Linked DNA regions of Macaca mulatta. The protein of the gene in region 2 binds, or shares a complex with, the protein of the main gene of each other region. Links are inferred from orthologs where the notes say so. Each region holds a gene or a part of one and is shown on either strand. Other genes may lie near its edges.

The links. Proteins that work in one complex are often made in the same cells at the same time.
Region 1: RIPK1 (region 2) and AIM2 share a complex: the UniProt entries of both Homo sapiens proteins name them as parts of the AIM2 PANoptosome complex. The link is inferred for Macaca mulatta from reciprocal best matches to the Homo sapiens genes RIPK1 and AIM2.
Region 3: RIPK1 (region 2) and ZBP1 share a complex: the UniProt entries of both Homo sapiens proteins name them as parts of the AIM2 PANoptosome complex. The link is inferred for Macaca mulatta from reciprocal best matches to the Homo sapiens genes RIPK1 and ZBP1.

What each region holds. Positions count from the first base shown.
Region 1 is NC_133406.1:107,857,833-107,862,358, reverse strand, and holds part of AIM2 (interferon-inducible protein AIM2), read right to left. Parts: intron 3,966-4,526; coding exon 3,832-3,965; intron 1,584-3,831; coding exon 1,164-1,583; intron 728-1,163; exon of another isoform or gene 415-727; intron 1-414. UniProt on the Homo sapiens protein: Sensor component of the AIM2 inflammasome, which mediates inflammasome activation in response to the presence of double-stranded DNA (dsDNA) in the cytosol, leading to subsequent pyroptosis.
Region 2 is NC_133409.1:180,192,456-180,197,641, reverse strand, and holds the start of RIPK1 (receptor-interacting serine/threonine-protein kinase 1), read left to right. Parts: upstream 1-2,104; coding exon 2,105-2,362; exon of another isoform or gene 2,363-2,445; intron 2,446-2,562; exon of another isoform or gene 2,563-2,696; coding exon 2,697-2,712; exon of another isoform or gene 2,713-2,885; intron 2,886-3,092; exon of another isoform or gene 3,093-5,186. Other genes in the region: uncharacterized protein LOC144340588, read right to left, coding at 1,567-2,106. UniProt on the Homo sapiens protein: Serine-threonine kinase which is a key regulator of TNF-mediated apoptosis, necroptosis and inflammatory pathways.
Region 3 is NC_133415.1:110,408,466-110,413,400, reverse strand, and holds the end of ZBP1 (Z-DNA-binding protein 1), read left to right. Parts: intron 1-801; coding exon 802-1,020; intron 1,021-2,442; coding exon of another isoform or gene 2,443-2,513; exon of another isoform or gene 2,514-3,559; coding exon 3,560-3,807; 3' UTR 3,808-3,969; downstream 3,970-4,935.

The DNA.
Region 1 (4,526 bases), on a different chromosome or scaffold from region 2:
CTAGTAAGTAATCAAAGACAAGAAATAATGCACAATCAAGTCTAGATCAAAAGGAAATAGGAGGTTGGTCAGTTATTTCGGAGATTGATCGTATTTTAGCTTTAATTTTATGGACTAAATCAATATATGTTAGTGGCCAGATTAAAAGCTGAAAACTGGGACAAAGAACATGACCTTCCTATCCAAGGTCATTTTACACTTGAGTTTCCAAGAGGACTGGAGAGTCTTCCTATCAATTCCTTCTAAAACTAACCCAGGGCAGCAGAGGTTATTCTGAGGCTCTGAATGCAGGGGCAGCAGGTTCCCTCTCTACGGTTCTTCAGGTCCTGCCCTAGACCAGAAAAAGTCATTCCACAAGGCTAGTTCCCTGAAGCTCAGAGTCATAATACTTTATTATTTCTCACTTCTAATAAGTCTCCTCGAGGAGTGCCTCTGCCCGGCCACCCCACCGTCTGAGAAGTGAAGAGGGCCTCTGCCCGGCCGCCCCACCGTCTGGGAAGTGAAGAGGGCCTCTGCCCGGCCGCCCCACCGTCTGAGAAGTGAAGAGGGCCTCTGCCCGGCCGCCCCACCGTCTGGGAAGTGAGGAGCGCCAGCCGCTGTGGAACCTTCCAAGTGTGAAGTGATAGCCTTGTATGTGATCTTTTCTGTCTTCCCCAAGTTTGCATTTTCGACATTAAAGTTTACTTTTAATTAAAAAGAAAGAAATAAATAAGTCTCCTCAAGCTAACTCTTTCTTCTGTTTTCTTCATTTAATCACAGTTCTTTAATCCTGACTTGCATATTGGTTTTTCAGGTCAATTAATTTGGTTGATTACTCAACTACACTTATTTTGCAATCACAACAATAGTCACTTAAAATAAAGATAATATGGACAAAGTACAAAAATAACGCAGAAATAAAAACTATGTGAACGAACTAATTCCTTTTTCAGAGGCTACTGGGATAAGAATAAGTTGAAACAGGATTGTGACATTTTTGACAATAAAAACAATTTTTGAGTTTTCGTATGAATTTTGGCATGTTAACTCTGCAGCTCTTTAGAACTTTGTATTTTTTTATTTTGTCTGTATAGACATTAACACCTTTTCTAAAGTCTCTTTAAGATCAGATGGAAAATACGTTATTCTTACTAATCAATATGAAATTAGCTATGAAAACTTACCTTCTGGACTACAAACAACCCATTCACAATTGTTCCAAGGGGCTGAGTTTGAAGCGTGTTGATCTTTGGGGTTTCACCAGCTTTTCTGATAATGTTCAGCGGGACATCAACCTTTTGGTCAGATTTAGCATCTAACACACATGAGGCGCTATTTACCTCTAAGAAACCACTGTGCTGATAATATCTTGATATTATAATCATTCTCTTTGGAATGAATTTATCTTTCAGCAGTGTATTAAAAACTTTTACAAAGAAGAATTCCTTCTCTGTAGCCACCGTAGCATGAAACATCTCTTGCTTGCCTTCTTGGGTCTCAAACGTGAAGGGCTTTGTTGCTTTCAGTACCATAACTGGCAAACAGTCTTTCCGAAACTCTTCTCTGATAGATTCCTGCTGGGCCACCCTCTGTTTCTGCTCAGGCTGAAGACAAGAGAAGAAAGATATCAGCTGTGAGTCAAAAAGGTACTATTGAGAGGACCTTCCTTCACCCACAGTGCTAAGCCTCAGGAAGCCACAGAAGACAGGTGGAATCAAGGGAAGAGACACAGAGGGGATAAGAAGAGACTTGAGGCCTAGAATGATCTAGATGGAACAGAGAGTGCAGAAGGAAGATTTCAACTCCTGTATTCAGATAAGACGGTGTAACATGTTTTGGAGGAAGGATCCCTAAAACCAAATCCTTGCTTTGCCATGTGCTATATAAAAAGACTTCATCAGATTTCTGAAATATTGCTAAGCCTCGGGGTAAATCTGATAAATCTGATTCCATCTTCTATGGATTCCATTCGGGCATAATATATCCTTGTTTCTCTATCCAACACTGTCCTAAACATTCATTTTACTCTGGTATAAAAGTGAGAGAGCTCAGTGACCTGCACAGGGTTCCCCAAATTCCTAGGGAGGTATTGTACGTAACAAAATGTAGACTATGTTTAATGTGAGTTAAGGGGGAGACCTAGGTCAGAGATCTTACAAGTGAGTTAAAGGAGAAATTTAAAAGGAGAATTGATACTACATTTGTGGATTTACCCTTAAATAATGAATTATGCACTAAGGTTTACATTTTAAAAATATATCTTATTATTTGAAATTATAAAAAAAGAAATAATTTAAATACATAAAAAATAGAATTTGGTTAAACAAAATATGGTATAGTCACAAATAGATTACTATGCAAATATTAAAAATGCTTTAGAGAAATAATGTGATAAACTGTTATAACTGACTCAATAAAGGGAAAGGTCCTAAACAGATAAAAAATCTCTTTCTTTTTGGATAAATAAGCAGTTAAAGCACACACACAAACACACTACAGAGATATTTACCAACATCAATATTTTTTTCCTAGATGATACAATTATAGGTAATTTTATTCGCTTCTCTGTGTTTTTTATTTTTCTGAATTAACAGAGATAAGATACCTTTTTTGGTTTGTTTTGGGAGAAAATACTACTTTTTAAAAGCAACTTGCCATCTAGAACCAAATGGAAATACAGGGAAAAACAAACAGAGGCATAAAAAGTCAAGTGTAGGAGTCTCGAAGGCTGTCTCCGATGTGACCTGAAGCTTGGGCCAGTGGAGCTGGGGCCAGTAAGGGGCCCTGACGGGCAGTATAACTGACTGCATTTGGATCAATGCAGGTAAAGGTCAGTTCCACTGAGTTCCACTACAAAAGTCCTCTTTGGTCCATGTATCTTTAGTTGAGTCTTCCAGACTGAATGATGCATATTTTCATTACTGGTGATGGAATCACACCATGTATACTTGAACCTTGTTTTCTGAAAAATCCAGAAGTTTCTGGGCCAAACCCAGAGGAAATGGCTCCTCTAGACAAAGAGAATGAAGTATGTGTAATCAGTTTCTAGAGCTCACACAGCTATAAAATGGTGTAACACCTGCTTCACAGGAAATGAAATTGCATGTGTGGTGGATTCTGTGTTGGGCCTTTCCGATATTGCCTGCCGCTCCCTCAGGACTAAAGTAATCATTCTCATCAATGAGACTCTTCAGGCACTACTCTCTCAGCTAAACAGGGCCACCTCACCTTGTCCATGCAGGTGTATAAAGGGCTTTTTTACATTACTTTTAAAAAGCAATTTGCTGTCAAGAACTAAGGGAAAATACAGGGGAAAACAAACAGAGGCATGCCAGGCCGAGTGTAAGAGTCTCTGCAATAGATCTCTGATGTGACCCAGAGCCTGGGTCTGTGCAAACCACAGACTCCCCCACCAGTCTTGGGAGCCCTGAAGGGCATTCTCAGCTCCCGAGCTCCCTGTGGGGTAGGCCAAGGCCTCTATTGCAACTATATTGGACTTGACATTCTTCCTCTTCTACTCCTTTCACTTCCTCACAGATACTAATTCTGAAAGTGCTCTAAAATAGACTTCCTGTAAACAACTGTCTATCTCAGAGTTTTCGTCTTATAGAATCCAAACCATAACAGAGTGTTAATGTGTCCAGGCCCTGACAGAGATTAGAAGCTCAACAGGTGTTTAATCTGATTAATCAGAGGTAGTTCCTGTTTTTGTGACTCAGAGTGCTTTTCACACTGTGGCCTTAATTCCCTTATTTGCATGCTCTGAGATAAAGAACAGAGAACAATGTGGGAAATGACAGTGACAGTGATGCTCTTACAAGGACAAAGACCACTCCACTCTCCTCATCCTACCTTAACATGAGGAGAGACTTTTGGTGCAGCACGTTGCTTTGTGACATCATTTCTGACGGCTGCAGGTGCAGCAGGACTCATTTCAGGTTGACTTAGTGGCTTTGGTTTTGTTACCGATTTGTATTCCTTATCAACTGATTAAAAAATGGAAGACATGGCCAATAAGCATATAAACATATGAGCAGTGCACATTTTCAAATGTCACCAGAAATAAATACTAAAACCATATTAAGATATCTTCAAGAGCAGTTAATTTTTCTAAAAAAAAAAAAAAAAAAAAAAATCTTGTTTTAAAATGAAAGAAACTGGACCTGGCACAGACACCTGTAATCCCAGCACTTTGGGAGGCCAAGGCTGGAGGATCAACCCGAGGCCAGGAGTTTGAGACCAGCTTAGTCAACATAGGGAGACCCTATCTTTATAAAAAATATTTTCAAAATTAGCCAGGTGCAATGTCACATGTTTTCAGTCTCAGCTACTTGGGAGGGTGAGGCAGGAGGATAACTTAAGCCCAGGAGTTCAAAGCTGCAGTGAGTCGTGATCACACCACTGCACTCCAGCTTGGATGACACAGTGAGACCTTGTCTGTCTCAAAAAAAAAAAAAACAAAAAACAAAAACAAAAGACAAAAAACAAAAGAAACTATGAAGTCTTAGTCTTAAATCGGTATAACACTTTGGAAAATGGTTTGGGAC
Region 2 (5,186 bases):
GAACCTTTAAAACGTTATGCTAAGTAAAAGAAGCAGTCACAAAAGACCACATATTGTATGGTTCATTTGCATGAAATCCCCAAACTAGGAAAATCCACAGAGACAGAAAATAAATCTATGGTTCCCAGGGGTTGTGGGGAGGAGGAAATGGAGAATAATTGCTAATGGGTATCACAGTTGCTTTTAGGGTGATGAAAATCTTCTGGAGTTAGATAGTAGTAAGAGTTGGATAGCTTCATCAGTATACTAAGAACCACTGTATGCTTTAAAAGGATGAATATTATGGTATGTGCACTGTATTTTAATAAAGGTGTTATTTTATATATTTATTTATTTATTTTTGGGGTGTTTTTTAAAATTTTTTTATTTATTTTTATTTTTTTTGAGACGGAGTCTTGCCCTGTCTCGCCCAGGATGGAGTACAGTGGTGCAATCTCGGCTCACTACAACTTCTGCCTCTGGGTTCAAGTGATTCTCCTGCCTCAGCCTCCTGAGTAGCTGGGTCTACAGGCATGCGCCACCATGCCCGGCTAATTTTTGTATTTTTAGTAGAGACGAGGTTTCACCACGTTGGCCAGGCTGGTCTAGAACTCCTGACATCGTGATCTGCCCACCTTGGCCTCCCAGAATGCTGGGATTACAGGCGTGAACCACCTACCCAACCTTAATAAGGGTGTTAATTAAAAAAACAAGCTAGGCACCTAGGGTATAAAATTGAAGGAGGCTCTGATTCTCAGGGCCACGCAAATGCAGGGCTGGCACCTATGAGTGTGGCCCTCCTGAAATGTTGTGCCTTAGGCACCTGGCTCTCCCTAATTCAGGCCCTCAGGAGAAAGCCCTAATTCTGGTCAGTTCGCAACAGGAGGACACGGCTTCTGGGAGACACTCGGTGCTCCAGAGAGAGGCATTTGGTCCGTTCTCTTCCTCTGGACGTCACCGTGCCGACATGAAATGCTTCCAATTGCGTCCAGCCTAGGATGGAGCGGGGTGGGGGGGATATCTGGTGACATTACGAACTGCTGCATCAACTCCCCCGAGTCCCTGCCTCTGGACCCCCGAGAGAGGACACAAGGAGTGTCCGGAGCCCATGTGACTCAGTGTCTCTTCCCATCACTTCGCGGGAAAATGGGGCTGCTTACACCGCACCGCAGCCCAAGCACCTGTGGCTGGAGAGGGGCTCGGGCGCCAGGAGTGAGGAGCCTGGTTCTGGGCCCGGGACCGGTACTAGTTAGTGGTGGGACCTGGAACAAATGGTACTAGTTAGTGGTGGGACCTGGAACAAATGGTACTAGGTAGTGGTGGGACCTGGAACAAATGGTACTAGTTAGTGGTGGGACCTGGAACTAATGCTTTGCTTCTAAGTGAATCCCTCATATTCATGACAAGAGGCGTGGAACACAGACCCATGGGGCCTTCCCACTGGAACATGGAGCTTGGCTGTCACCCGACTTCGCTTCCTGAGGTAGAAAAGCCCAGGGTTCCAGGCTCTGTCTCCTTTCCCGCAGACCCCTTGTTTCTTGGCGCGGAGGCCCTGGGCCCCGCAGGCTCCCACCCACTTCTCTGGGCTCAGAACTTCTCTGGGTTCAGAACCCGATCCCGAAGCGGCCATGGTGCTGCCGGTGGCCGAGGCCGGGCGCGCGCCTTGGGAACCTGGCTGGCCTCAGGCTGGCGGGAGCATTCGCGGACCTCGCCCTGGGCCGGGAGGACTGGGGGACCCTGGCCTGCCCCTTCCCCTAGCCCTGACCTCGGCCACCACGCGCTGGTCCCGCCAGGCTCCGCCTGAAGGCAGAAAGCGGGGCGGGGGGGGGGGGGCGCCCGATCCTGCGGTATAAAAGCGGTGTCCGCAAAGGCCCTAGTGGGAGTCCGCGGCGAGCGCAGCAGCAGGGCCGGGTCCTGCGCCTCCGGGATCGGCGTCCAGGCTCGGAGCGCGGCACGGAAACGGCGGCGGCGCTGGACCAGGCGGTAGGTGCGGGCGTCCCCGCGCAGGGCGCTGCGGGTGGCGAGGCTGGGTGCGCGCCTCGGGAACCTGGCTGACCTCAGACCGGCGGGAACATTCGCGGACTTCGCCCTGGGCGGGGCGAACTGGGGGGACCCTGACCTTCCCATGTTCCTAGCCCTGCCCTCCGCCACCGCGCGAACGCGCGCGCCTCCCAGGATAGTCCCGGCAGGCGCAGCCCCAGTCAGGCGGCTTGTCAAGTATGGGAGGAGCCTAACAATCCCAGACAGTTTAAAAGGCGGTGCCCGCCAAGGCCCGAGCGGGAGTCCGCGGCGACAGCAGCAGCAGCAGCAGCAGCAGAGTCACGTCTTGGGCCCTGGGGATCGGCGTCCAGGCTCGGAGCGCGGCACGGAGACGAGGTGGCAGGTGAGGGCGTCCCCGCGCTGGGCCGGGGTCGGGAACGGGAATGGCGAGCTTCAGGTCCCCCGGCTGCCACCGAAAGATGAGACCTGAGGACAGGAGAGGTCGCTCATCCAAGAGCCCCGGGGAAGCGGTGGTGTCTCGGCGGGTCAGGAACGGTCTCTGGGGGGTCCCCTGCAGCGCGCAGCCGGTTTCCGCCTCCGCAGCTCCCCGCCAGCGCGGACGCCGCCCTCCCCCACGCCTCCTCGCTGCCCTTCTCTGGCCGAAGCTCTCCCCTGCAGCCCCTCCCCACCTGCCAGCCCTGTTTTCTCACTGCTCCTCTCTGCTCTGGGATCCGCAGGATGACGTCTGTCCCGGTACTTCTCTTTCAAAGTCACCAGTCTCCAGTTCCAAATCCGAGCACTCTTACCCATCCTAATTCTTTCAATAATTCAGCGAAACGGATGGGGCCCGTCCTTCCCCGGAGCATATTTCCAGGGACTGTGAATCCGCGAAGCCAGGCTCAGCCGTCGCCTGCAGGGCCTGCGGTCTGTGGGGACCGCCAGCAAGATGAGGAGTCACCTTCGGGACGAACGGTCGTGCTGGGGAGGGTTGCGCCGGCGGGGTCAAGGGAACCTCCTTTAGGGTGGGAATCAAGCCTCCAGGCCGCGGTGTTTGAGGGTGAGTAGAATTAATCCCGTGATGGACATGGGGCCTTGTAAGGGGGACCAGGAGTTTGTGAAGAGGTGACTTTGGGAGGGGTTCAGGATGGCCAGAGGTGGAGGCTGTGACCTGAGCGAGGCTGGATCAAGGGAGGGGGCAGGTGGAGAAGAAACCGTTTTAACAAGGTGGCTTTGAGCGGATCCTAAGGGTTCTGGGAGATTTAGGAGGAAGGCCAAGAGGATTAAGACACCGCTTTCTGAGGATGTTGTGTGGCTGTGGCATGGTGGTGGCTGAGGGAAGCGGGTTGTCTTCATTGTCCAAGGCTCTCCAGTGCTTTGCGTGGCGTTTTGGGGAGCACACATGAGGTGTCCCGACAGTGAGGAGTGGCTCTAAGGTGAGCAGAGGCTCGGGAGGGGGCCTGCGCATTAGGCCAGGCACAGGATCCGAAGTGGAAAGAAATGTGGGCGAAATGTGGGCGTAGAGGGCAGGCCTTGGGGATGGGTGTGGGGGACGAGGGGGATGGAAAGGGGTCAGGGAGGTCTCCCAGGCTCACCTGGAGGAGTGAGGGTCTCATTTCCAAGGGCACTGGGAACTGCAGCCTGGGGGTGGGGGTTCATTTGGTTTCAGACCTGTGGCGAAGAGACCCACCCCCTCACATTCACACTTTGGCTTCCACTAGCTTCAGAGGTAGTACTAGCTCTTTGTTCTCGCTGGTTTTCCTTCCTCACCTTGGGCTGTTTCTTGCCTTTTCCATTCTGGTGTTCTGCAAGGACCAGTTCCTTCGTCTCATGTACCATCTACACTCATGGCTTTTGCTGGGAGTAATGAGTAAAGCTCCCAAATAGATGTTTCTGAGTTAGAGCACTGAAAACAAAATGAAGCAAAAACAATGCATTTCCAATCTTCCAAGATCACATGATGTCCAGAGGACAGTGATGGGCAATGACTTTTTGTCTTCCCCATTAGAATGCAAGTTCCACAAATGGAACACGGAGATTTTTATTTATTTATCCTTTTTTTTTTTTGAGACGGAGTCTTGCTCTGTCACCCAGGCTGGAGTGCAGTGGTGCAATCTTGGCTCACAGCAACCTCCACCTTCTGGGTTCAAGCAATTCTCCCACCTCAGCCTCCTGAGTAGGTGGGTCTACAGGTGTGCGCCACCACGCCCAGCTAATTTTTGTATTTTTAGCTTCATCATGTTTGCCAGGCTGGTCCGTAACCCCTGAGCTCAGGCAATCCACCCGACTGAGCCTCCCGAAGTGCTAGGATTACAGGTGGGAGCCACTCCACACAGCCAGAACAGAGATTTTTTATGTTTAATTCACAACCGAGGCTTCACTGCCTAGAACAGATGCTCAGTAAATATTTATTGAAGGAATGAATTCCTTTTTGTATCTCTTGTATCTATCACCAGATACTCTTGTATCTAGTACCTATTTGGCATACAGTAGAAAGCTTTGTTGAGTGAATAGCTCTGCCTTTCGTCTTTTTTGGTATGTATACATCTTTTAAAAAATAATGAATAGACTTTTAGAGCTGTTTTAGTTTACAGCAAAACAAAGCAGAAAGAAAATATCCCCTCCCACAAACATCCTGGACTGTATAGCCTCCCCTACCATCAACATCCTGCATTAGTGTGGGGTATTTGTTACACCTGATGAACCAACATAGATACACGGTTATAAAAATGAACCAATATGGATAAAACATATACATTATCAGTCAAAGTCCAGAGCTTGTTAGGTTTTGCTCTTTGTGTATATTCAAGATACATTTGACAAATGTATAATGAGATGTACCCAACACTGTAATATCAGATTCCACTGCCCTAAAAATCCCTTGTGCTCCACCTACCTATCCCTCCTTCCCTGCAAATCCCTGGCAACCACTAATCTTTTTTACTATCTCCACAGTTTTTCCTTTTCCAGAATGTCACATAGTTGGAATCATACATTATGTAGTCTTCTCAGATTGGCTTCTTTCACTTAGATTTATACATTTAAGATTGCTCCAGAATTTTTTTTTTTGTGGCTTCAGAGCTCATTTCTTTTGAGCCTTAATATTCCATTGTATAGATGTGCCACAGCTTATCTGTCCACCTATTAAATGACATCTTAGATGCCCTGAAGTTTTGGCAATTATGAATAAAGCTGCTATAGACATTCTTGTACAGGTGTTTGGGCGTAAG
Region 3 (4,935 bases), on a different chromosome or scaffold from region 2:
CCTCAGTTTCCCCATTTGTAAAATGGGCAGAGAAGCAGAGGCTGGGCCAGCTGGAGTAGGGTGATGGTTTGATACTGGAATGGTGTTTAGGGAGGTTGGAAGACAGGTGCCCTACTAGGTGCTGTGGCTGCAGTGACCAGAGGGCCCCGGGCAAAGGCCTCCCCCGCAGTGGGAATGCAGAGATGGGCTGGGGGAGAAGAACCAGCAGGGAAGCCAGAGAGGGAGGAGGAAAGCAGAGGCCCCGGGAAAGGAGTCACCAGAGAGCGGCCAGGCTGGCGAGCCCAGGGAAGCATCTGTGGGGTTCAGCGAGAGGGGTCGTGGTGACCTTGCGGGGGTGGTTTCTGGGAACCAGGGAGCAGAAGGGGTCTGGGGAGTGGAGGAGGTGAGACTCAGTGTGGATGGTTCTTCAGAAGTTTGGGTGGGAAAGGGCAGAGCCAGATGACAGGGGCTGGGGCCAGGCTGGGAGCCCCCATAAGATTTCAACCAAAAGTGGGGGCCAGTGTTCCAGTGCAGTGGGAAGCAGGCAGCAGAGGAGAGAGGAGCTGAATCCCAGAAGACACTGGCGTCCAGATCAGCTGGGCAGGATCAGTGGGGCAGACCCACCAGCTGGTGGAAAGACGCTTCCCAGGCAGCCCAACAGCACGTGTGGAGGTGTGGTGGGCAGGCACAGGCTGTGCGCCTGGGATGGTGTGGGCCGCTGGTGGGAGGTCTGGGGAGGAGGGTGAGTCAGTCTGGGGGTCAGGGCTCCGGGCCACTATCCAGCTGCTCCTGGCTCCAGGCCTGTCTCCCTTTGACCCACAGTCTCTGCCACTGCTGCCGGCCCAGAAGCTTTGTTTGAAGCAAGAATGCCCAGTCCAAGAATTCACCCCAAGGGGGATGCCGCCCAGAGAATCTACATGAAATCATGCTTTCTCGAGGATGCCACCATCGGCAACAGCAACAAAATGTCTATCAGCCCAGGGGTGGCTGGCCCAGGAGGAGTCGCAGGGTCTGGAGACAGGCAGCCAAGGGAGGACGCAGGTGAGCTGGGGTACCGAGTGGACCCCTGTGTGTTCTCTTTCTCTCCCCACCTTCCACTCATTCATTCATTCATTCTCATCAATCATTCGCTAATCTCTGGTTTCCCAGAGTCTGGAGGCAATGCTCACCCATAGCGAGGAGCAGCAGCTCTACAGTCAGAGCTCGAGGCTCCGTCCGCCTAGTGGAGGGGCCCACCCAAGTCACTTCACCCGGGAGCCTCTGTCTCCTTAGCTGGAAAGTGGGATGGTAAGAATAGCCTGAAGCAACCCCTACAGTGGTTGCAAGGCTGAGATAAAATCTGAAGGCAGAGCTCAGCCCTGCACCAGCCCTGCCAGCATTCAGGAGATAGGAGTGTTATTGCTGTCATGATTGTTTTGGGCCCAGAAAGGTGCTGGGTTGCCATGCAAATAAGGTTCTGCATCAGGGCACAGGCTGACCTGCCGCAGCAGAGACGCCACACATGGTGGCCCCGCCTGCTCGAAGCCCAGGTCTCATGTCTGGGTGAGGGTAGCAGACCAGGGATTCTTTTCCCTCAGGGATGAGTTGTCCCTGGGGCTCTATCCTCATCTGTGGGGTTGAACTTGGCACCAGCAAGCAGAGGGGCAAGACAGGGTACAGAGAGCCGCTGTTGTCTTTGACCAAGCCCACCCACCGCATCTGCGCTGTTCCGAGGGCCAGCACTTAGCCACGGGGGATCTGGGAAGTGCCGCCTGTGTCGAGGCAGCCTAAGCTCAGCAGAGACTGAGGGGAGGGGCTCCACTGCCAACAGGAAGAGGGGAGAGGGGACACCAGCGCGGTTCACCTTCCCAGCCACAGTTCTGCCCCTGGAAGCTGCACAGGCTGGTTGCAGAGCCCGAGGATCCCAACTCTGCAGAAGGGAGCTCGGGGCCTGGGGTAGGGGCAGCTGGAGAATAGGGCAGGTCCATACAAGGTGGATCCATACAGGGCAGGTGTACCTGGTGGGTGGAACAGTGTGGACAATGGCCTGGAGGTGAGGACATGACAGTACAGGAACCCACAGGGGTCTGAGGGTGACCTGAGTGTGGAGAGCAGAGCCAGGGTCTAGCTCCAGGCGGCAGTTGATGCTAAGGCAACTGGGAGCCATGGGGGCCTTAAGCAGGAGAGGGGCAGGATGAGATTTATGCCTCCCATATGAAGAAAGAATTAGAAGGAGGATTTGCACTCCTACCCTTTTGGGATCTGGAATAAGGGGTCACACCCAATCCCACCAGTGGGTAGAAAACGTGGATTCACAGAATCTGGAGGATTGGCCAGCATCCACCTTCCAGTGCCTGAAGGCCCAGGGGACGCATGTCCTGGAAGTCCAGAGGCTCTCCTCACCCCAAGGGCCATGTCCTTGCTGTCCCGGCACACTGAGGAGACCCTGGCCCCACGTGCCTTGCCTTCAAACTCTCCCTCCAGGACCCCTGGGAGCCCCATGTGACACCTGCGGAACGGGGGCCAGGAGCACAGGCCAGGAGCACAGGCCATGAGCATCTGGGAGCACGGACTCCCTTCCAGCAGCAAAGGGAGTCTCAGAAACCTCCAAGGCCACTGGGCACCCCCAGGAGGGCGTGTGCCACCAGTCCTCCATCCCCCACCTGGCTTAGGACCCCACAGCACAGGCCGTCTGCAGAACCCTGTGGGTCTCAAGCCAGACCACTGAAGACTCCTTTTTCTGGAAAGAACACAGCTCTGTGTTGTTAAAAAATGACCACACGCCCAAATTTGTCCTGCCACATCCTGACATTCTTCTCTGAGGTTCCAGCAGAGGAGCTGATGACATTCTTACCCCTTGTCCTGACCCACCCACCTCTCTTTGTCGCCAAGAGACATCTATAGGCATAGCTCAGAGATATTATGGGTCAGCTCCAGACCACCCCAATAAAGCAAGTCATGCAAATGTTTGATTTCCCAGTGCACATACAAGTTATAGTCACACGAGGCTGTAGTCTATTAGGTATGCACTCAATCACATTGTATCTAAAAAACAATGTATATACCTTAATGTGAAAATACCTTATTGCTAAAAGTGCTAAACATCATCTGTCTTCTGCCAGTCATCTTCTCTATGCTGGTGGAGGTCTTGCCTCGATGTTGATGGCTGCTGACTGATCAGGGTGGCAGTTACTGAAGGTTGAGGCAGCTGTGGCAATTTCTTAAAATGAAGTCCAACAATGAAGTCCACTGCAGCAATGGACTCTCCCTTTCACGAAAGCTTTCTCTGTAGCATGCAATGCTGTTTGATGGCATTTTACTCATACTAGAACTTCTTTCAAAATTGGAACCAAGCCCACCAACCCTGCTGCTGCTTTACCAACTCGGTTTATATAACAGTCTAAATCCTTTGTTGTCATTTCAACAATGTTCGCAGTATCTTCACCAGGAATAGATTCCATCTCAAGAAACCACTTTCTTTGCTCATCCGTAAGAAGCAACTCATCTGTTCAAGCTTTCTCATGAGATTGCGGCAATTCGGTCCCATCTTCATATTCCATTTCTAATTCGAGTTTTCCTCCTATTTCCACCACATCTGCAGTTGCTGTCTTCACTGAAGTCTTGAACCCCTCAAAGTCATTCATGAAAGTTGGAATCAACTTCTTCCAGACTCCTGTGAATGTTGATATTTTGACCTTCTCCCGTGAATCACAAGTGTTCTTAATGGCATTTAGATTGATGATTTTTTCCAGACAATTTTCAATTTACTTTGCCCAGATCCATCTGAGGAATCACTCTGTATTGCACTTATGCCTTTGTAAAATGTATTTATTGAAGAATAAGAAGTGAATGTTGAAGTTACTCCTTAATCCGTGGGCTGCAGAATGGATGCTGTGCTAGCAGGCATGAAAACAACATTAACTCTTTTTTACATCTCCATCAGAGCCCTTGGATGAACAGGTGCATTGTCAATGAGCAGGAAAAAAACAAACAAACAAACAAACAAACAAACTTTTTTTTTTTTGGCCTTTAGCCCAGGATCCTGAACACCCAGCTCCTGTGGTATGGACGATGAGCAGTAAAATGTTCAAAGGAATATTTTTTTCTGAGCAGTAAGTCTCAATGCTAGGCTTAAAATATTCAGTAAACCATGCTATAAACAGAGGTGCTGTCATCTAGCTTTGTTGCTTCATTCACAGAACACAGGCAGAGTCGATTTAGCATCGTTCTTAAGGGCCCTAGAATTTCCAAAATGGTAACTGAGGAAAGGCTTCAGCTGAAAGTCACCAGCTGCATTAGTCCCCAACAAGAGAGCCTGCCCCTTTGAAGCTTTGAAGTCAGGCATTGACATCTCCTCTCGAGCTATGAAAGTTCTAGATGATATCTTTTCTCAATAGAAGGCTGTTTCGTCTACATTGAGAACCTGCTCTGTCATGCAGTCGTGCTCATCAATGATCTTAGCTAGAGCTTCCGGGTAACCTGCTGCAGCTTCTCCATTAGCACGTGCTGCCTCACCTTGTACTTTCACGTTATGGGGATGGCTTCTTTCCTTAAACCTCATGAACCAACCTCTGCTTACTTCCAACTTTTCTTCTGCAGCTTCCTCACTTCTCTCAGCCTTTAGAATTGAATAGAGCAAGGGCCTTGCCCTGGATGAGGTATAGGCTTCAGAGACTATTGTGGCTGGTCAATCCTCCATCCAGACCACTAAAACTTTCTCCACACCAGCTGCAAGGCTGGTTCACTTTCTCATCACTCATGTGTTTGCTGAAGTAGCACTTTTAATGTCCTTCAAGAACTTTTCCTCTGCCTTCACAATTTGATTAACTTTTGACCTAGCTTTCAACTTGTCTTAGCTTTGGGCCTGCCTCTCTCACCAAGCTTAATCATTTCTAGCTTTTGATTTAAAGTGAGAGACATGCAACTCTTCCTTTCACTTTAGCACATAGACGCCATTTGGGGTTCTTTTTTATTTTT